2 linked regions of the Schizosaccharomyces pombe genome follow. The gene in region 1 interacts genetically with each later gene. Each region holds a gene or a part of one and is shown on either strand. Other genes may lie near its edges. The genes, in order: dga1 and plh1.

Region 1 (10,500 bases):
TCTGTCTCGCATTCACACCCCGCATACCCTTTCATCTCCACAGTGTAGTTTGTAGCTACTTTGGTAGAGAGTGTTTGTCTCCTCTCTTTCCTTCTCCATACTTCACTTGTCATAATGGGTGATTTTGGGATGGAACGTGTGTGTCGGCCTACTTTCCCATCATCTTCGCATCCTTGGCGCTTCCATCCATGCGTCGTTACTTGTCCGTTCGGTAAAACTGTCAGCAAGGCAATTTTGTGGAGTATAACAAAAGATGGGGTATGGGAGAGTGTTCCCATTTGTATTGTCAAATTTTAGCTACTCCGACGTGCGCCAATCAGAATGCGTGTCTCCAAGCGCAAGAGTGGGCATTTCTGCGTTCCCCTCTTATTACACCCTACTTCATACACTTAACCCCGCATCCAAGGTATGGGCAAGATGGGACGTTTGTTGGTATATATTATAACTGCAAACCCGGTCTTTTCCTTCGTCCAACAATCGGTTTTATCCATCTCTACACTACATTACCTTCCTTATCATCGTTAATTCCTTTGTCAGGTCTTGCGTCCAACTTTAGCTGTCTGTGTGTATCTTTCTCCCTTCAGCGATTGTTAGTAAGTTAATTCCCTTTCAACCTTTGTGTTTTTTTTAAAAACTCTTTTTTTTTTCACATTCCCATCTCGATTGCTTTATTTTGCTTCGAGTAGTTTGTGTTTTGTGCCTTTTTCGATTTGTAAGGAATCGTTCATCTTCCAAATTTCCATTCATTCTCTCTCATTCCTTTTGTTTGAGTCTTGTATTTTGCGTATTCGCTCTCCCTCTCTATATACCCTTCTCTTAAACTCATCTGTCGTTTCTTTTTTTTTTTGCCTTTTTAATTCCAAACATCTTTTTTAAAAGAAAAAAAAAGAAATCTTATACCCTTTTTAAGAAAAACAAACAAGCAAGCAAGCAAAAATACTTTACTAGCTTGTTCAAAAAATTTCTTTTTCACTGTTGCGTTATAACGATAGTTAAACTTCGGTTTCGGTTCTATTTTGGGCTTTTGTCTTGTCATTGAAAGCTTTTTGTTGTCTTTTAACCCTATTTACAATCAAACCCTTTATATCTTTTTTTATTAATTTTTCTCCTTCCATTATATTACCCTTTTAATCGTAATTTTCAAAAATGGGAAAAAATTTGACCATTGTCATGTTGGTCTTCGTGTCCATGGCCGGATGGATGTTTGGCGCCGATACCGGTTCCATTGGTGGTATCACCAACATGAGAGATTTCCAATCTCGTTTCGCAGATCGGTATAATCCGGTAACAGATTCGTATTCGTATTCTTCGGCGCGGCAAGGTCTAATTACTGGTATGGTTAACGTTGGTTCTTTCTTTGGTTGTTTCCTTTCTTCCCCTCTTATGGATCGCATTGGTAAGCGTACCTCTATTATGTTTTGGACTATTGTTTATTTGATTGGTATTATTCTTCAAGTTACCGCTGTCCCATCTTGGGTCCAAATCATGGTTGCTAAGATTTGGACTGGTCTTTCCATTGGCGCCTTGTCTGTGCTTGCCCCCGGTTTCCAATCTGAGGTTGCTCCCGCCGATCTTCGTGGTACCATTGTCACCACCTATCAATTGGCTGTCACTGGTGGTATTTTCATTGCCGCTTGTATCAACATGGGTACTCACAAGTTGCACAAGACTGCTCAATGGCGTGTATCCATGGGTATTAACTTGCTTTGGGGTATCATCACCTTCATCGGTATTTCTTTCCTTCCTGAATCCCCTCGTTATTTGATCTCTGTTGGTAGAGATGAAGAGGCTCTTCAAATTATGGCCAAGAACAACGATCTTCCTATCGAACACGAAGTTATCCAAACGGAATACCATGTTATTAAGTCTGATTGTGAAGCTGAATTGGCTGGTGGTCCCGCTACTTGGCCCGAAATTTTTGGTCCCGACATTCGTTATCGTACCTTCCTTGGTCTTGGTGTCATGTCTCTTCAACAACTTACCGGTGATAACTACTACTTCTACTATGGTTTCGAGGTGTTTGAGGGTACTGGTATGAACTCTCCTTATCTTTCTGCTTTGATTCTTGATGCCGTTAACTTTGGATGTACGTTTGGTGGTCTTTTCGTCCTAGAGTTCTTTGGTCGTCGTATGCCATTGATTATTGGTGCTCTTTGGCAATCCATTACTTTCTTCATTTACGCAGCTGTTGGTAATCGTGCTCTTACTCGTAAGAATGGTACCTCAAACCATCGTGCCGGTGCCGTTATGATTGTGTTCTCATGTCTTTTCATTTTCAGTTTTGCTCAAACTTGGGGTCCTGCCGCATACGTTATCGTTGGTGAATCGTATCCCATTCGTTATCGTTCCAAGTGTGCTGCCGTCGCTACCACTGGTAACTGGTTGTGGGGTTTCCTTATTTCCTTTTTCACTCCCTTCATTACCAACTCCATTGGATTCAAGTATGGTTACATTTTCGCTGCTTGTAACTTGTGTGCTGCTTGTATTATTTTCTTGTTTGCTCATGAAACCAAAGGTCTTACCTTGGAAGAGATTAACGAACTATATATCTCTGGTGCTAAGCCCTGGATGCCTAGACCTAAGAACCTTGGTAACTTCACCAAGCAACAAGAAGAGGTTCGTGAAAAATCCCGTGGTGTTCAAGGCGAAAGTGCCGCTCATCTTGAAAACGTTGACGGTGAGGAAGGTATTGAGGACTCTAGCAATGACATTAGTTCCACAACATCTTCGGATGGCCGTGCCAAGCCCGAATCTAGCTACCACGATCAGGAAGAACAATTCGCATAGATTGCTGATTGATAACAACAATATTTATAAAAAGCTTAAAATGCGCTTATTTTAAGCTTAATGTTTGTCGTGGTTCGTTGATTCCTGTTGTTGTTTTTTATTATATCCCTGAAAATTTCTGATGTTTGTTAGGAGTAGCGGTGGCATTTTTTAAAGATTGGAACTAATTTATTCTTGTCTCACTCGCTGCATTTGGAAGATAAATGAATGAATACCCAGAAAGGCATACGGAAAGTTTTTGTCTCATCATTTCATGCTTTAAATTTAATGTTGGTTTGGATTTATTTAATTTTCCTAGCTTTAGTCGATTGTGGCTCTTAATAAGTGAAATGAGCTTTGGATTTCTTAAAAGTCTCTTTTCCCTTGCTGTCTTTTTACAATTTATTCCAATGGTCGTTACTGTATTGAATATATAATATGTTTTTCCAAGTTTTTGTTTAACAAAAAAATATTTTTTTTGCATCTTCTTATCCTATACTTACCTTTTGTGTTGTAAATTTATCGTCATCGTTAGAGGATAAAAAAGTTTCCAAAACAGTATAAATATATATATATACATAAATACAGGTAAATGGTCTAAATCAGTATGTAAGCCAATTTTTCAAGTTTGTTAAAAATTTGAATGAGTAAGGTGATTAGAGGAACGGAATTATGTATACATAAACACACACACATTATACATATATTGAGATATGTTATTGCAGCTTGTGCAAAGTTGGGATGAGTTAGCGTAGTCACCTTTGCCAATGTAATCGTTGAAGAAGTATCTATGACATTTTCTTTAAATTTTCAAGATTATTTTCGTTTTTCAAAACGGTGATTATAAGTAATAAATTAAAAATTTTAATTATCGATAGTAGTCAATACCAGAAAAAATTGAATCCATGGGTAGTGATTTAATTAATATGCTTGCCAAAGGTAAAGATAACTTAATTGGAATCCATAAAAATGTTAAAAGTAAGAATGTACACTGCCTTCTAAGTTTAAACCACCACTCTCGTCTATCATTTTACTATGAACCGCACATAGTTTAAGATAGCAACATTTGAAATTATGTTTCTACAAAGATTTGAATAAGTCATTGTATAGTGTACGTCAAAAAAATGTTAAATGTTTAAAGTTTCCATTAAGTTTTCTAAAAATGGTTTGACTTGCTTGCAAAGGGAAAAGTGTCTTTCCAATATCTGACTGTCAATGAAAGAGGCTTCATGAAGTGCTCAGGGCAAGCCGGAAAATTTGACCTAAATGCAGATAATTTTTTCATTCATGCTTTACTTATTTAAAAAAATTGTTACATATATACAAAAAGATCATGCGGTGTAAAAAGGAGATGTTAGTAGGAAGGTAAAGGTATCTTGGATAAAGAAGCGGATGACATCAAATTAACACTAGCCATCCGCCAACCACAATTTCAAGGAAATCTTAGAAAACTGTTCGTTGAAAAAGTTAACACGATTATATAGAACGGGAATGTCAGAAGAAACATCAATTCCCGGAATCATAGCTTCTACTCCACCTATTTCAAAAGATAGTAGACGTAACGTCAGTCACTGGCTACAAGCGTTAGCGGTATTCCTTCATAGTGTCAGTCTGACATTAACGGCATCTTGGTATACAGTTTTATGGGCTTTCCTCCCATTTTGGCCTGTAAGTGAGCATCTTTTCTGATGTTACAATATCAATGATTTCTGAAAGTGAAACTTCATTTGCAAAATGTATCGCGATTCGAATTGCTGAAAAAAGGCGTTAGGTATCTCATGTTTGTTCGATGATACTAAGTACTTTTCGGTTTTCGGACTACAAAAATAATCCGTCTCGCTTCCCTTTCTCAAATGTTGAAAACTGATCCATCTATTTTTTTTTACAGTCCATTTTACTAATCCTTCATTCCTTTAGTTTTTAATTGTTTATTTGATTTGGTTAATATATGACGATGGGTTTGTAACAGGAAAAGATCGGCAAAAACGTTGGCTGCGCAATGCTCCCCCTTATCGTTGGTTTTGTCATTACTTCCCCATTCGTCTGCATAAAACTACTGAGCTTGACTCTGAAAAAAATTACATATTTGGATATCATCCACACGGAATTATTTCGCTTGGTGCATTCGGTGGTTTTGCTTCGGAGGGTATGTTATGATGGAGAACCCGGAAATTAGAGGCTACTCTACATCAGTGTTTTCCCTTTTAATTCCACACATAGTTTTCTTATTTAATTTCTAACCTTATGCTATTAGGGGCCGATTTTAGTAAATTATTTCCTGGCATCAACGTTTCTGTCCTGACCCTTAATTCTAACTTTTATGTGCCGGTTTACCGTGACTATCTCATGGCTTTAAACATCAACTCAGTATCCAAGAAATCCTGTGTTAGCATTCTTTCCCGTAAGCCAGGTGATAGTGTTTTGATTGTTATCGGGGGAGCTCAAGAGTCTCTTTTGTCCCGTCCAGGTCAAAACAATCTTGTACTTAAAAAGCGTTTCGGGTTCGTTAAGTTAGCTTTTTTAACAGGATCCAGTTTAGTCCCTTGCTTTGCTTTTGGAGAGTCTGGTAAGATTGAATTTTAGTATTTTTAGATAGCTTAAAAAGTCGTCGAATTACTTTGATGTTGTTTACTTTAGTATCTTGCTAACCAACACAAGACATTTTTGAACAGGTTGATAACAATCCGCGTACTCGTATCTACAAATTTCAAGAAATTGTCAAAAAAATTGCAGGATTTACAGTCCCCTTTTTCTATGGTCGTGGACTATTAAACAAAACTTTTGGGTTGATGCCTTGGCGTAAACCTATTAACATCGTTGTTGGAGAGCCCATCGATGTTCCTAAAAAGTCTCACCCCACAAATCAAGAAATCTATGAGGTTCATGAAGAGTACATCCGAAGACTTGAAGGCTTATGGAACAAATACAAAGATGTGTTTTTACCAAATCGTATTAGCGAATTGAAGTTGTCAGCCTAAATTAATATGAAGAAGTCTTCACATAAAATAAGAGCAGTTTCTTATTGGCCTATGCAATATGTTGTGAGATTTTATATCATTAACGATTTCTTCTTTTCCTTCTTTAGAGCAGTTTATAAGCTATATTTATTTTGCAAAAATTTACAATATAATGTTTGAGGCACTTTAGACTTGTTTATTTCTGTTCCCTTCTTCAATTAAATGTAAAGGCGGTTGCTTTCATGCAATCGTCTTATCATGCTAAGTAAAAATCATGCAGCAAGCCATGAGACGATAATTTCGTTTGTGACTAAAAGACGACGCAGCAGTATGCAATAGTATATAAATTAGATGGCATACTTGGCGGGGAGTATTAAATCGAAGGCATGGGCTTTGCCGCCTTTATTAAATAATTCAGTAAGTCTTAGCGATCGTTTACATTTGATGAGTTGACAGGGTTTGTAAATTCAAACAAAGAGTAAAAGTTACAGCCCTTTGAGGTATCTGATCAGGTTTAATATTGGTACACTGCATGCTATAAAGGATAAATGGAAATTATCTTTGTCTTACTGATTCATAGGTATTCACAATTACTTCAAGCGTTACTAATATTCATTCAGTAATTAGAAGAAACGATTTTTATTGGAGGCATTTTCACAAATGGTTCGAAGGTTCAGACCTGCAATAAGTTTAATTAATTCAAGCAACCATGTACGCCCAATGTTTCCTATTGTCTAATTGGAAATTAAAGTGAGTGTTTTTTAACGGAATTTCAAGTCGTGCTTTACTAACAAAATTCCTTATATGAGGAACGAGGAATTTACTATATAAGCATTTTTAAATTGTTCGCAGATTCGGTTCTAAAAAAAAAAGAGGCCATTTCTTCTTAGCTATTGCTTTTCTAGTATTAACCCAATTACTGTAGTTTCGAAAACGAGCAAAAAGGTCTATAAAACAAGTGTAGGGAGTCGATCTCAGACTGCAAATCGCTAAATTTCAAAATTTGATAAGGGTAGAGTCTTGTGAGAAGGAAAATAGAATTGTCGAATATTTCAATAGCATCCTTAAACCAAAGTTAAAAAAAAGTATATATATCAAACTAAAAGCGTACCTGCTAATTGCTTGAAGCATTCGATGTTCAACTCATAAGCTTTATGGACACACTCTACGATGGTTAAGCATGTGATCTTCATACGACGCTTTGCTTCCCGCAAAATCAATATAACTATTAAAAGATGTATAGAGTGATGGGTGTAGTACTCTAAACATACTGGAATAGATTATATGTGAACTAAGGAACATTCGAATAGATCATCTTCATAGCAAAATATTCATTTGGCAGTTAATTAAAATGTTTATGAAATTACAAGATGATCAATAGTAATTATGCTCAAGAATAGGCTCAAAGATGAAGAGGTGCATAATATAGTGTAAAGCACTATGACTCTTGTGTTCGAATTTCATTAACAATACTACCCTATGTACGTTACGTTGTCACCGATAGATGTAATGTTTGCAAATCCGTTGTATTCAAGTCACCAAGGCAAACTATTTACTACATGTGTCAAAACAAACAATATAAAAATATTATAAATAGAGCTCCTACTGAACTGAGGAACGAAGTTCAGTCATATGCTATATTAGGGATAGGTATGTTATACTCAGTTGCTACTCATACTACCTGCGTATCGCAATATAATAGATCACAAGGAAACCCAACACAGTTCTATGTATTGTTAAAACAAATACCAAACTGCGTAGCTGACATGTTATTGCGATAACATTTCGTCTATCTAAGTCACAATATTTTATTATGCTGTTCATTATTTTGTAAACATTGAAATTTGTTTGAATTGAACCAGTAAACAGAAGAAAAAATGATGATTAAGCTTGATTCATTAAGAATCAGGATGAAAGAGAAATGAATGCAATAAACGACAATGAAATTGTGAATACAACAAGGAGGAACAGCGAGTTTTCCAATTTCATTAGTTGATGATAACAGTCAATTAGTGAACTGCTATTTTAAAACGAATAAATAAAACCATTATTTTAATATTCAATTCCCAGTGTATGTTATCCAACATCGCAGAATCTTTCAAGCAATGCACTTGCTCATCCATTTCGTCAGGAAATGAAATCATGCAATAAAAATACATCTGAAATACTCTAAACACATCATGATTTGTTTGGTAAATCACAATTATATAGATGCTTCTTTCCATTGCACATTCTTGTAGAGAAGTTTCGTGAGAAAAGCGCCTTTATAAATCAATAGTAAAGTTAGCAATATAATTAGGCTTCATTTTCAGGGTTCATCTCACGTAACGGAATAGCAGTGTATTCATTCACGTGTTGTCTGGCATCACGATCTAAAAATAATTAGTAAACACATTTAAAGTACACTTCTTTTTATCATCTTTACCGCAAGTTGTTGCAAGTCTGGTCAGTAAATGCGTAGAGCAAGATCCCGGTTCCACTATGTTGTCAGTATTAATTTTGTTTAGTAAACAACAAACCTGTTTCAGCAATGAATATGAGAATGCTTGATACAGCCATGAAAGTGAAAGCGGATGCCGAGCATTTCCATCCCCATTGTTGATCACCTAAATGTGAACTCAATTTGTTTACACCTTTTAATAAAACCAAGCAAAAAATAGAACTTTTACAAAAAGCAAAAAACATGTTTCTCCACTTCTTTAAAAAGTGCTTGATTCCTTTTCCGCAAGCCTTGACACATTGTGCCAAGAAAATTACAGTTACTTTAACTGCCTTGGTCCAAATTTCATAGAAGTCTAATGAGTTAGTGACTGAAGGTAAGAATAACCCCATCGTCTCACTTACAAGTCAAGAATATTAAAGCCAAAGTGCAAACAAGACACCAAAATCCAAATAATGTCCATTCCGCTGCACCATAATTTTTAAAAAAAGCGTCCTTATACTTTAGATAACAAACTGCTGGAGCATTGAATAGAATGATTGAAGTGAATGATATTAGCAGTTTTATCAACAAAGGGGAAGAATTATCTGTCGACCTGGAAGGATTGTTTTCTCTATGTGTGTTAGGAGAATTGCTTAAACGTGCATGATCTGTTTAAATTAATATGATTGAAAGACTTTAGTTAAGAAAAAGCATGTATCAAAGTGTGTGCATTGCATGGCCAACTGTAAACAATGACCAAAGCATGCAATTTGACTACGATGGCAAGCTTCAACTTTCAATTGAATAATTCCTTTCTTATTATTTACAATTCTTACCTGAATATGGAGGCAATGTACTTTCCTCCTCTGAATCATATTCTGGGAGGGGTCCTTTTTCCAAATCAATTTCATGATCTGTCTTCAATTCATCTTCTTCATCTATAGAACTTTTCAAGGAAGTGTAATTATTCTTCGTTTCATCAAGATAATTCTTTATTTAACAAAACACATGCGCGAATTAATTGCTATGATTGCGACAAACGAAACAGCAAAATCAAGAATATTCACTCTGGAGTTCAGTTCCCGCCGTTCAACATAAATAAATGAGCAATAGTCGTTTCAAAGCAAACTGTTTTTTCAATAATAGCAAGTGAAAAGTAAAATTCCAAAACTCATTTTCAAAATGTAATTGCTTCTGACACATTTATTTTGTCACTGCCCTTCTTATTCACCCCAACTTAGATTTCCTTATGCATCATTAAGAAACTCAACATAAAACCAGTATATACGTTTACTGCGTTATTACATACTCACTATTGCAATATGTCTTTAGGTTATTACGATAACAAATCATCGTTCTGAGTCACAATATTTTATTATGCTATTCATTATTTCGTAAACATTGAAATTTGTTTGTATTAAAGTAAACCATTAAACAAATGGAAAAAATGATAATTAAGCTTGATTCATTAAGAATCAAGATGAAGGAGAAATGAATGCAATAAACGAAAATGAAATTGTGAATTTAACAAGGCGGAACAACGAGTTTTCCGATTTCATTAGTTGATTTTAAGTTGTCGTAAACAAGTTAAACCATTATTGTTTGTAGCGTAGAGTATCATTAAAAAAGACACATAATTAGACTCGCATACATAATAAATAAAGACTTCGGTCCTCAATGCACATTATCCAACATCGTAGAATGCATTGGTTGGCAATTTTTGGTAATTGAAAGAATGAGTTAAGCTTATATCTCACAAACTTATAAGGCAAGAGAATAATTAAAGTATGTTGGTGCTTATTTTTAAAAAACGCCGCAGCTTCTCTGCGTTGGTGATTTTGGTAAAGAGGTTTTCCAACTGGAGCGACAACCACATTAATAAAGCAATTAGACTTCGCTTTCAACATCCATTTCTCCCAAGGGAATGTCATTATTATCGTTGGCACCTCTAAACGCATTTCCTATCCGCCCAATTGCATTTCCTATCCCTCCAAATGCATTTCCTATCCCTCCAAATGCATTTCCTAAACCTCCTAGTCGGGTAAGTAAAAAATCATTCATACAGTTGGTTGAATACACATACCTAGGAAAGAAGCTATACCATTCCCGATAAATTTGGGCATCCTTTTGAGAGCACCTGGACGTTCTGGTATGGTTAGAGTAAATTACAGGAATATATAACGAACCCATTTCGTAAAAGAAAAGAAAATTTCCTATAACAAAGAGTGAAGAGGCTTCAATTTCGTAGCCTGTCGCGTCGATATGTTTATCAAATAAATACATCAAACCTTTCGTTACAATAACGACACAACTTTGTACACCCAGCACTTGAAACAAACCAAAAAGCATATGCTT
Region 2 (13,060 bases), on another chromosome or scaffold:
TGAATGTCCCAATCATTAATATACCTCCCATAATGTAGGTCTTCCGCTTTATATACACTGGAGAACGTACCTAAACGAATTAGCAAGATAGTTTCAAAACAGTACTAAAAACGGTAATTGAAGTTTACCTTCTCCAATTTTTTCAATTAGCCGATAGTTCTCTTGTAGCTCTACGAACGTCCTTGTGATATTTTCAATTTCTTCGCGGTCTCGTGCAGGGATATCTTGAATCATTTCTTGAGATTTGTTTTCGTTTACATTTTCATCGTCCACCTCAGTGATTTCACATTCAGAATCAATATCTGTTTGTTGTTCATGAGTTACTTTAGGTGATAGTGTGATATGGGCCTCTGCCATGTTAACGGTTTAACTCATATATTTTTAAACCAAATAATAACTTAAAAAAAATTAAAAGAGTCGTCAATTAAATGGTAAAATGCTGCCAAGGGAAGGAACCAAGAAAAAACAAATTTTCACGTATTTTAAACCTTCAAACCGAACACGCGAACGAATACTAAGATTCAAAAAAATCAAGTTTTTAAAATGTGTAACACAAACTCATTCCATGAATATAAGAATTTGCAGATTCCAGGTTCAACACCAGTTGTACATTGTTAAGCAAAATGCTCTTCTAATGAGGGACATTGTTACTTCCAAACAAGAAAAATACATTTTTAATCCAACTTTTGTTTAATAAAAAAAGTACTCTGCTATAATATTTGTATACTTATGGAAAAGATTAAGATTTCATGTCCTTTATCTTTTTTTAAATTTAGGACTTGCTTTAAAAAACATAAATCCTTTGGGCTCTTGTTATTGTTAATAACCACCATAAACAACTAGAATTGACTATTTATTGGACATTGAGAGTAAATATGATTAACCATGGTATTCAAACACGTTTTTTTTTTCTGTTATTTAAAAATAAATAAAAAAATTATCCTGAATTTGAAATTTATTCCTAGTTAAACTACGATAGGTTTTCTGTTTAGTTTATTGTGTATTACTTTAAAATTCTAAAAACAGCACAAATGCTTACCTCGTCAAAATTTGCATTCATAATAATTTTGAAAATCACCTTGAAAATGATACATGCGCCAAAATAAATTATAAGTTTTTATATCAGAAATACAGCTCAAGAAAGAATTTACAACTAACGTTATTCAAAAAATATATTAAATTCTTTTCAAAACATTTAATTAGAAGTACTAAAAAGAACAATAGCTTTTACGTGGCACGCTCAATAAAAGTTAATTAAAATATTATTTTTTAATGTAAACAAATGAGTTAATAAAAGCACGTTCTATATCCTTAAAGTGGTTAGCAACAATTAAGTCTAGCTCCTATTTTATATTTTGACTAACCGTAGCTCTTTTTTGTTAGTAAGAAAGTATAAATGGACCCCCACACAGGACATATAGGTGGGGTTATTGTTTACAAGGACTACTAGAATGTAGTACGCCAAATCCATCTTTTATTTCATTCGTAACATAGAAAGATTCGGCTTTCAGTGGCCTCAATGTCGTTGGATCTTCTTTCTAGATTAAAGAAATACATTCATGATGAAGAAAATTCCGACTTGGACTCGATTTATGCTGAATGTGAAAATGCTGGATTGACAGCCGTGGTTAACGGTATGGACATTTGGGTTTTTAAAAAAATTGAAAATGATCGATTCCACAATAACTAACAATGAAAAATTAGACGTCATTGATACCCTTTTATTAGGAACGAGTTCTTGTTTCGACGAGGATTGCTTGGAAAAACTCTTTGCTATATGTTCGTAAGTAGTTGTTATTTTGTGTTATTCAAATAGAAGGAAGCCATTTGGTTTACTATATATCAATTTTACCAAACTAACAATAATGGTTTAGACACTTTGCTGACCTCTCTTCCTCTGTAAGGAATAAAGTATATGATTTACTCACGAGTAATATCAGCTCTGAATCCGCTATTCTTGAAGATATGATTTCCGCAAATGCTACTGATTTTACTGTACCTCAAACGAATTTAGAAACTACAGGCATTGCATTTCAGCTCACGGTCAATTCCCTTTCTTCCTCAAATCAACTTTCAGTTATTCGGTCATCCACTAATACTGTTAAGGGAAGAAAAAAAAATCCAACTACTAACTCTAACTGGAATGGTATCTCACATGTAAATGCTTTGTTAGATGCAATCATAACATTATTTCAAAAAAAATTATCTCGTGTATGGACTACTTCTTCGGAAAGAGACATGTTTCTTTCACTTTTCCTAAAACCAATATACACGTTAATGGAAAGTGAAATTAACATAAAAAATGCTTCTTTCCGTTCTCGTTTATTTAATATTATCGGGCTTGCTGTTCAATTCCATAACCATACCACTGCAGCGGAGACAAATATTATTCAAAATTTACAATACTTTGAGCATTTATCTGAGTATGCTGCTGATCTTGTTCATATTGTTACCGTTCAGTTTAATTCCGTTACCTTGGCTGAAGGAATTATTCGAACATTGTGCTCTCTAGAATTTAATGATAACGATGTTAAAGGTCCCAAGCAAGTCGCTTTGTTTCTTGTCCGTCTTTCTTCACTTATTCCAAACTTATGTTTGAAACAGCTTACTCAATTAGTTAAGCTGCTTGATTCGGAATCATATACTCTGAGATGCGCTATCATAGAAGTACTTGCTAATGTGGTCATTGATCAAATTCATGATGAGGCTCAAAATGAAATGTCAGAGTCAGTGCCAGCAACTGTTCAAAGCTTAATGGATCTTCTCAGTGAGCGATTACTAGATATAAGCCCTTACTGTCGTACTAAAGTACTTCACGTCTTTATCAAAATATTTGATTTACCAATTAAGTATCCCAGAAAACGTCAAGAAATCGCGGAACTCGTGATCAGATGTTTGCAAGATCGGTCAAGTCATGTCCGCCGAAATGCAATTAAGTTATTTTCTAAACTTTTAACTACCCATCCTTTTTCAGTTATGCACAATGGCTTACTAACCAGAAATATTTGGGAGAAAGGATTATCTATCATCGAGGAACAGCTTAATTCTTTACAACCAAAGCAACAAGAAAAGGTGGTAGATTCAGAGCTTGAAGTCGATGAAAACTTATTAGAGGATGCTACTATGATCCAAGATGATGAGTCACATGAAGGAGAAAGTCACTTGGAAAATTCTCTAAGCGAATATGTCGATTCTGTTCCTGCTGAGGAAATAGTCAAAGTGAATTTAACGAAACGGTTTTATTTAGAAGCACTCCAATATATAGACATTGTGGAAGCGGGAGCAAAAATAATAAGCCAGTTGTTGTTTGCTAAAAATAAGAGCGAGGTAATTGAGTCAATGGATTTCTTTGTTTTTTGCAATTCTTTTGGAATTTCGTCTTCAAAATTATATATAAAAAAAATGATTCATTTAATTTGGGTAAAAGGAACCTCCGACGAAGGGAACAACATTCAGAACCATGTATTGTCATGTTATAAAACATTATTTTTTGAGCCACCTCCGAACTCTGGTACCAACGAAGCCGCAAACTATATTGCGAGAAATCTTATTTCATTAACATATGATGCTAGCCTTGCTGAGCTTACATCACTTGAACAGATGCTTTGCATTTTGATGAAAGATGGGTATTTTTCACATCTAGTCATAACAAAACTATGGCAAGTATACAGTTATCAAAAGAAGGATATATCTCGAACACAACGTAGAGGATCCATCATAGTAATTGGAATGCTAGCATTAGGCAATACCGATGTTGTCATGCAGGGCTTGGATCATCTTATTCAAATAGGACTTGGTCCCCCTGGTTTGGAGGATTTAGTTCTTGCAAGGTACACATGTATAGCGATTAAACGTATTGGCAAAGATGCGTCTGGTTCTTCTAATATTAATTTTCCAAATTCGCATACGCTTTGTCAAAAATTATGTATGCTTTTACTTCGACCATCGTTCTCTGAAGAGTGGTTTGGGTTAGAAGAGCAAGCTATTGAGGCTATATATGCAGTTGCCAAACATCCTGACGAACTTTGTACCAACATTATTTTGCTTTTGACGAAACAACTCTTCAAACCTTCCAATCATGAGAATACTACCAGTAACGATGATCATGCAATGGACGAAGATTTAGATGATTCTCCAGAAGAAGAAACATTAAAAGATGAGGAAGAAATAGGTATACGACTGGCGCACTTAATATTTTTAGTAGGCCATGTCGCGATTAAACAATTAGTCTATATCGAATATTGTGAGGCAGAGTTCAAACGGCGAAAAGCGGACGCCGAGAGATTGGCCGTACAGAACTCAAATAATCCTATAAATGGGCAAGAAACTTCTGAATATGATTTAATTACGGGAACAAGTGAAGATGATTTTTCAGAAGCAATGACATTTATTCGTGAAAGGGAGTTGCTCTATGGTGAGAATTCTTTACTTTCGAGATTTGCTCCATTGGTAGTAGAATTGTGCTCAAATCATAAATCGCACAATAATCAAAGCCTTTTACTAGCTGCTTCTCTGACTTTGTCCAAATTTATGTGTCTTTCTAACAATTTTTGTATGGAACATCTTCCATTGTTAATAACCATTCTGGAGAAATGTGATAATCCGATTATTCGAAACAACTTAGTAATCGGGTTAGCAGATTTAACTGTTTGTTTCAATCATTTTATTGATGAAATATCCGAATACTTATATAGAAGACTGATGGATGAAGAGTCTTCTGTCAAAAAGACATGCTTTATGACTCTAGCATTTTTGATTTTAGCTGGTCAAATAAAAGTAAAGGGCCAGCTGGGTATTATGGCTCGTTCTTTGGAAGACGAAGATGCTCGAATTTCTGATCTTGCTCGAATGTTTTTTACTGATTTTGCAGCCAAGGATAATTCTGTATATAATAACTTTATTGATATCTTCAGTGTATTATCTAGAAGTGCAGAGGAGCAGGATGAGGACGACGCTAAGTTTAAGCGTATCATTCGTTTCTTGACGTCCTTTATTGAAAAAGAAAGACATACCAAGCAATTAGCCGAACGTCTGGCTGCTCGTCTTGATCGGTGTAAAACTCAACGTCAATGGGATCATGTGGTGTATGCACTTTCTTTGCTTCCTCATAAAGCCGATAATATTCAAAAGCTCATTGACGATGGATATCATGAATAAAGTCAATTCTAATGCTTTATCTTACATATTCAAAATCCTTTGTATATTAGTATTGCCTAATTAAAAAGAAGAATGACGGTATACCTTTTTTATAACGAATTGAATGTTAATAACTATAACTTCATTGATCTACAACACCCATTATTTGCAACAATTAAACAATTCAAGCGCAAGTTAAGGTAATTTAGTTATTAGCTAAGTAATTTGCACATTCTAGCTGGGTCATTAATTATTTTTTGTGCTTATGAAGAAGATTTAACTTTACCCTAGAAAACTATTCACCTTCATTAACTGCTAAGTAAAACTGAGGAACTCTTCTCAATTTTAGGCTGTATCAAATATTGGTAAATTACATACTTGAACAGAGATCATTTTTTGGAACTGTCATCATCCTCTCAGGCTAGAAGTTTTGATAATAAATATAATCGGCATATACTGAGTATAAGTGCATTGTAACGTAACTCAGTTTAACTAGAAATAAGGTATTTCAAACTTTTAGACACTAAATCAAAATACAATTGTAGAAGGAAACCGATATTAAACGTGTTTCTAAAGCAACTTAACGCTCACTTCGTTATCACTCCTGCTGTAGAACTATGACAGTAAGGACTTCGCTTACTTATCGAATGTTTGGCAGTTGCTGCTCAAGCAATTCATATTTTAAAGTTAACTATGGCGTCTTCCAAGAAGAGCAAAACTCATAAGAAAAAGAAAGAAGTCAAATCTCCTATCGACTTACCAAATTCAAAGAAACCAACTCGCGCTTTGAGTGAGCAACCTTCAGCGTCCGAAACACAATCTGTTTCAAATAAATCAAGAAAATCTAAATTTGGAAAAAGATTGAATTTTATATTGGGCGCTATTTTGGGAATATGCGGTGCTTTTTTTTTCGCTGTTGGAGACGACAATGCTGTTTTCGACCCTGCTACGTTAGATAAATTTGGGAATATGCTAGGCTCTTCAGACTTGTTTGATGACATTAAAGGATATTTATCTTATAATGTGTTTAAGGATGCACCTTTTACTACGGACAAGCCTTCGCAGTCTCCTAGCGGAAATGAAGTTCAAGTTGGTCTTGATATGTACAATGAGGGATATCGAAGTGACCATCCTGTTATTATGGTTCCTGGTGTTATCAGCTCAGGATTAGAAAGTTGGTCGTTTAATAATTGCTCGATTCCTTACTTTAGGAAACGTCTTTGGGGTAGCTGGTCTATGCTGAAGGCAATGTTCCTTGACAAGCAATGCTGGCTTGAACATTTAATGCTTGATAAAAAAACCGGCTTGGATCCGAAGGGAATTAAGCTGCGAGCAGCTCAGGGGTTTGAAGCAGCTGATTTTTTTATCACGGGCTATTGGATTTGGAGTAAAGTAATTGAAAACCTTGCTGCAATTGGTTATGAGCCTAATAACATGTTAAGTGCTTCTTACGATTGGCGGTTATCATATGCAAATTTAGAGGAACGTGATAAATATTTTTCAAAGTTAAAAATGTTCATTGAGTACAGCAACATTGTACATAAGAAAAAGGTAGTGTTGATTTCTCACTCCATGGGTTCACAGGTTACGTACTATTTTTTTAAGTGGGTTGAAGCTGAGGGCTACGGAAATGGTGGACCGACTTGGGTTAATGATCATATTGAAGCATTTATAAATGTGAGTCTCGATGGTTGTTTGACTACGTTTCTAACTTTTGAATAGATATCGGGATCTTTGATTGGAGCACCCAAAACAGTGGCAGCGCTTTTATCGGGTGAAATGAAAGATACAGGTATTGTAATTACATTAAACATGTTAATATTTAATTTTTGCTAACCGTTTTAAGCTCAATTGAATCAGTTTTCGGTCTATGGGTAAGCAATAAATTGTTGAGATTTGTTACTAATTTACTGTTTAGTTTGGAAAAATTTTTTTCCCGTTCTGAGGTATATTCAAAAATACAAATGTGCTCTACTTTTTCTAACTTTTAATAGAGAGCCATGATGGTTCGCACTATGGGAGGAGTTAGTTCTATGCTTCCTAAAGGAGGCGATGTTGTATGGGGAAATGCCAGTTGGGTAAGAAATATGTGCTGTTAATTTTTTATTAATATTTAGGCTCCAGATGATCTTAATCAAACAAATTTTTCCAATGGTGCAATTATTCGATATAGAGAAGACATTGATAAGGACCACGATGAATTTGACATAGATGATGCATTACAATTTTTAAAAAATGTTACAGATGACGATTTTAAAGTCATGCTAGCGAAAAATTATTCCCACGGTCTTGCTTGGACTGAAAAAGAAGTGTTAAAAAATAACGAAATGCCGTCTAAATGGATAAATCCGCTAGAAGTAAGAACATTAAAGTTACTAAATTATACTAACCCAAATAGACTAGTCTTCCTTATGCTCCTGATATGAAAATTTATTGCGTTCACGGGGTCGGAAAACCAACTGAGAGAGGTTATTATTATACTAATAATCCTGAGGGGCAACCTGTCATTGATTCCTCGGTTAATGATGGAACAAAAGTTGAAAATGTGAGAGAATTTATGTTTCAAACATTCTATTAACTGTTTTATTAGGGTATTGTTATGGATGATGGTGATGGAACTTTACCAATATTAGCCCTTGGTTTGGTGTGCAATAAAGTTTGGCAAACAAAAAGGTTTAATCCTGCTAATACAAGTATCACAAATTATGAAATCAAGCATGAACCTGCTGCGTTTGATCTGAGAGGAGGACCTCGCTCGGCAGAACACGTCGATATACTTGGACATTCAGAGCTAAATGTATGTTCATTTTACCTTACAAATTTCTATTACTAACTCTTGAAATAAGGAAATTATTTTAAAAGTTTCATCAGGCCATGGTGACTCGGTACCAAACCGTTATATATCAGATATCCAGTACGGACATAAGTTTTGTAGATTGCAATTAACTAACTAACCGAACAGGGAAATAATAAATGAGATAAATCTCGATAAACCTAGAAATTAAAAATCATTTACTTTAAATAAATCGACAAACGAATATGATAAATAAATTGTCTTTAATAAAAAGCATCACTATCATTCAACCAATCATGCCTCTTTCAAAAGTTCCTGTTTTATACTAATAGCATTTTTGCAGGATCTTCAATATATTCCTTTACTAAACGCAAGAAAGTAACTGCTTCACGACCATCAACCATTCTATGGTCATAAGTAAGAGCCAAATACATCATCGGCCTTGGAACAACTTGGCCGTTGATAACAACAGGTCGTTCCTTAATGGCATGCAAACCCAATACAGCTGTTTGAGGAAGATTGATAATAGGGGTACCATAGAGGGAGCCAAAAATACCACCATTAGAGATGGTGAAAGTTCCACTAGCCATGTCCTCAATAGCTAATTTGCCAGCACGCGCTTTTGAACCCAAAGTTGCAATAGCACTTTCAATTTCCAAAAGGGACATGCTTTCAGCATTACGAATGACCGGTGTAACTAAACCTTTAGGGGTAGCAACAGCAATGCTGAGATCACAAAAGTCGCGATAAACAAGAGTATCACCCTTTCCTTCACCTTCTATGGAGCCATTGATTGCAGGAATTTGCTTCATAGCTTGGGTGCAAGCCTTAGAGAAAAAACTCATGAATCCAATTTTAACACCGGTTTCCTTCAAAATTTCATCCTTGTATTTCTTACGGAGGGCGACCACAGCAGACATGTCACATTCGTTGAAAGTAGTGAGAGAAGCCGCACGATTTTGGGACTCCTTAAGGCGCTCAGCTATACGAAGACGCATGCGATTCATTTTAACACGATCCTCATTACGGGAAAATGAGGAAGGACGAGCGGTCTCTGTAGCTTTAGGCTTACTTTGTTTAACTGGTTCGGATTTGGCAGGTTTAGGCTTAGGAGAAGAAAATTCAGGTTCTTTGGCATCAGGAGCAGGCTTAGTAGAGGAAGGTGCAGATTCCTTTTGTTCAGCACCGAGGTCAGGCATGGGTTTCTCTTCAATGGGTTTAGAAGAATCTTGAGGAGTTGAAAGGTCCTTAGCTGCATCGGCATCTGCAGTTTTGACTTCATCTTTCTTTGGACCGGCACTACCGCCTTCAGGAGGAGCGGCACTCGTATCAATGACCGCAATATCCTGATCAATGGTAATAGTGTCACCTTCTTTAACGAGTTGTTCCTTTAAAACACCGGCATCAGGAGCTGTAACGGGGGCATCAATTTTATCAGTTTCCACACTCGCGATTTCCTCATCCTTGTTGACATATTCTCCAGGTTCTATCAACAAAAGTCAGTATTTATAATAGCAAAAAATCTTTTTTTTATGAATCAACTTACGTTTTAACCATTGTGCGAGGGTACCTTCCGTAATAGATTCAGGAAACGGAGGCGTTTTAATGCGTGTACTGGCTAAAAATATAGTTAATGATTTTTGAAATTGAAACAACATAAGAAAAAGTAAATCCCGAAGATACTGAGTGAAAGGAAGAAAACATAGTTGAGAATTCCTATTCATGTGTGAATATGACCTTGTGAAGAATTATTTAATTATTTTGAAATCAACAGCGTCCACTTGATTCAAAATAAAGTTTAAGACAGATGCACTTAGCAAAAGTTGATTCTTATGAGCAAGTTGAGTACTAACATATATATCCCGTCTCCTTTAACAAACAATATCTACATCATGATCAACAACACATACCATAACGGGCCCAAAGGACGTTGGCCATGGATTTAGACACTGGAGCAGTGACTGAATATCCTGAACGTAGAGATAAAAGACATTTCGCCATCATGCGAAAGCCATTGCCGTAAGAAGTCATTATGATGGTTTTTCCGTAACAAGTAATTTACTTCAATCTTGAATAAAGACAGCACAAGAAAAAACAAGAAGAATGTACGAAAGCCAAATCAACTAACAGTGGCTTGCTTATTTTGTATTATTGCTAGAGGGGGTTGTTGTATGTGGTAGAAGGTAAATATGCTACACCCTTATAAACACTGTAATATATTATATGGAGTATGAGTGCACGGTAGTGCTTTGAACCTGTAGAATCCTATTCGGTGTGTGAAACCAGTATGACCTATGGTAGGCCATTTATAAAACCTTATTAGGAAATGTAGCTGGGGGTAGTAAAGAGATTTGATGAGAGTCACTGTATTTCGTTAAACATTGTTTAGAAAGGATTTGGAATAATAAAGGTTTGCTACAATACACTAAATTGTAATAGTGTGATGTAAAGACAGCAAAAATGATAAACTATTAAGGATCAATATATGAAGTTGTTTTAAAGTTGAATTCAAAAAAATATTTATCAATTTCGGTTTTCTCCTTTTTTTACATTGACATTTTGCAGATATCCAAAAGAATAAAAATAGTATTGAAAGGTGTGGGACTCGAACCCACGAGCTTTCGCACTAGTGCCTTAAACTAGCTCCATAACCACTCGGACAACCTTCCTAGTTGTACGGTTCTATCCATAGACGAATATATACAGTAAAAATAAAAAATATTTGAGCTGTTATTCATACGAATGAATTATTATTATGAATTAATACCTCATATATACATTTGATATTGAACATTGTAATTAGTTTCAAAGGCATATGACTTTTTGGGTCACTGCCGGAACAATATCAGTCGTAAGGAAATGCATTGCTTGCCCGCACACGAGCATTAATGAATGTTTCCGCTAATTTGCAAGATATTCGCTCTGAACTTACAGAATGAATAAGTATGGTTTAGAATTAGAAATCACATTGGTTTCGCAGCTTGAGAGAAATGTTTGTTTTACATTGTAAATAGTAAGCTTATTTGTCGCGCGTTTATTGGTATTGCTATTTCTATATATAGAAAAAAAAAACATTTTCCTAATACTTCATCTCATCTAGCTCTAATATATCGAAAATTCCTAGAAACCCTTTTTTTGCGATCAAAACATTCAATTAAGCTACATAAGTTGTATTCTACAAAATGTCAGCGGTTCGCTGTATCAAATAAATAGTATATATAAACTCTATACCTCTTTTGTCTTTATCATCCCTTTAATCAATTCCTAGGTTTTTCATTGAAGACATTTTTTGCAAGCACCTACAGTATATATATCGTTGATTTTATTTACCTTCTTCACTAACCAATTTTCTTGAGCCTTAACACCTAAATGAAGCAATTATTGAAAAGTTGGATTTATCCAAATCTCAAAACTTTGTTAAACTTCATTTTAACCTAAAGTCATATCTTTAAAAAGATAAATCGCATGGCAAAATGTTGGAACAAAGTGAATCGCACGCGTTCATAAATAATGCACCAAAAGAAGATCGAATCCAAGTGAAATTTGAACAATTATTTGAATCTCTTCCTTTGCCATTGCGAGCTGAAGAAGCATTGAGTAAACTAAGACATGATTCTGCAAGATTGATGATATTAAAAACTTCAGATCCTACGTTAAATATGTCGACTTATAGTATAGAGGATTCTCCGATGGGCTTTGAATGCTTAAAATATAATTTAAGTGACAATAATAAATTACTTTCACAAAATAATTACCGATTACCAGACTATTTAGAAGAGGATGAAATAGTCAGCTATACTTTTTCAAAAACCGGTCCCACTACTTCAAAAAACAAGCATCCATCACATTCTAATACAATTAGATCACCTCCTTACAAAGTGAAAAAAGAATCATGTCATACAGAAATCAACAACGTGTCTAATGTTTCTACGGAAAGTATCAACGTTATTGATGCATCGAGGGGTTACTCGCCTTACACATCAGTGGATTCTCTTTCTGTGAGTAAAAACCGTTCTTTCATATCTCTTGAAGAATCAGCAAGTAACCAATATGATGCTGCAGAAGCTTTTTATTTTAATGCAGACTCATCCTCACCGTTGAGAAAACTTAGCCCTATAGAGCTTCCTGTGACTCCAATAAGACGCAAAACCCCTACAATTAACCCAAACTCAGAACTTAAAAGACTTCAAACTTTTGGAAAACTGATTTTGCATAAGGGAAGTCGTAGAAGGTAGTGAGTCCAATCGAACAAGAAGTATACAATAACGTTTCTTTGTTATTACGAAAAATTTTGAATGACCATTTTATAATGCAAAAAGTTACCTTAAGCGTGTGCAGTAATTTATTCAAATATCAATAATCCTTTTAAATGACTATACCGAGCACTATACTTTGTATGAGTAGGCTATAAGGATCTTTTTTAAAAACGTTTATCTTGGTTAGGAACACTAAATGCAATTAGCAACCACGCATATCAATATAGCTGTATTTTTTTATTAATTTACAATCCAACACCTCTAGCTCCCAATTCAATTATTACATTGCTTTTTGGAGCTTTTATTTAGCAGCAAATAAATTACAAGTTGTATAATTACATTTTTTTTTTAATCCTAGAAAATAAGCAAATCTTAGTTTAATTTTCGCTTATTCTAACATTCTTAATGTATATTGTATATAATAATAATTATAGTCACAACGAGATGAAGTATGCGAAGGTATAAGAGTATACAGCTCCTATGGTCTTGCCCTCGGTCAAGCTCAGTAACAAATTGCATTTTACCCAAGAACCAAACAACTCATATAAATGGACAAGCTCAAAGAAAAAGGGTTTGTTAAACTAGAAATTTATTTGGAAAATAAAAAGAGGTTGCATAGTATATTTTTGAAAGAAGACACGGAAGATGTTGAAAAGAAGTCACTGTATTTGATTAATGTTCCTATCACAACTACTGAAAAGATTTTGAAAAGAGCAATTTCTCAATTGGGCGGTCGTATCGTTAATATCTATCCTAATATTAGTGGCCTTTTGAAAAGTGGCACCCATTTACGCGTCAAATTAGTCGAGCCCGCTGAAGTTAAACAAGTTATCAAGGCAGCTTCTAAAAAGACGACCTCGCTTCCTTGGAAGTT

The links.
Region 2: of dga1 (region 1) and plh1, changing one enhances a phenotype caused by changing the other (phenotypic enhancement), as found in Schizosaccharomyces pombe (2 studies listed by BioGRID).

What each region holds. Positions count from the first base shown.
Region 1 is NC_003421.2:211,167-221,666, forward strand, and holds dga1 (diacylglycerol O-acyltransferase Dga1), read left to right. Parts: upstream 1-4,177; 5' UTR 4,178-4,257; coding exon 4,258-4,434; intron 4,435-4,683; coding exon 4,684-4,912; intron 4,913-5,020; coding exon 5,021-5,332; intron 5,333-5,424; coding exon 5,425-5,744; 3' UTR 5,745-5,933; downstream 5,934-10,500. Other genes in the region: SPOM_SPCC1235.18 (uncharacterized protein), read left to right, coding at 1-122; plasma membrane high-affinity glucose/fructose:proton symporter Ght5, read left to right, coding at 1,147-2,787; wtf meiotic drive antidote Wtf4, read right to left, coding at 10,033-10,178, 10,229-10,291, 10,332-10,500.
Region 2 is NC_003423.3:3,198,619-3,211,678, forward strand, and holds plh1 (phospholipid--diacylglycerol acyltransferase Plh1), read left to right. Parts: upstream 1-5,781; 5' UTR 5,782-5,829; coding exon 5,830-6,813; exon of another isoform or gene 6,814-6,858; coding exon 6,859-6,928; exon of another isoform or gene 6,929-6,982; coding exon 6,983-7,010; exon of another isoform or gene 7,011-7,054; coding exon 7,055-7,082; exon of another isoform or gene 7,083-7,130; coding exon 7,131-7,214; exon of another isoform or gene 7,215-7,253; coding exon 7,254-7,493; exon of another isoform or gene 7,494-7,527; intron 7,528-7,534; coding exon 7,535-7,681; intron 7,682-7,726; coding exon 7,727-7,933; intron 7,934-7,957; exon of another isoform or gene 7,958-7,982; coding exon 7,983-8,050; exon of another isoform or gene 8,051-8,098; coding exon 8,099-8,141; 3' UTR 8,142-8,250; coding exon of another isoform or gene 8,251-9,416; 3' UTR 9,417-9,476; coding exon of another isoform or gene 9,477-9,548; 3' UTR 9,549-9,617; downstream 9,618-13,060. Other genes in the region: Dbf4(Dfp1)-dependent protein kinase Hsk1, read right to left, coding at 1-70, 129-357; condensin complex non-SMC subunit Cnd1, read left to right, coding at 1,520-1,634, 1,705-1,783, 1,875-5,157; kgd2 (dihydrolipoyllysine-residue succinyltransferase), read right to left, coding at 8,251-9,416, 9,477-9,548, 9,841-9,961; protein Mis20, read left to right, coding at 11,404-12,165; rRNA processing protein Rrp7, read left to right, coding at 12,735-13,060. UniProt on the Schizosaccharomyces pombe protein: Catalyzes triacylglycerol (TAG) formation by an acyl-CoA independent pathway. The enzyme specifically transfers acyl groups from the sn-2 position of a phospholipid to diacylglycerol (DAG), thus forming an sn-1-lysophospholipid.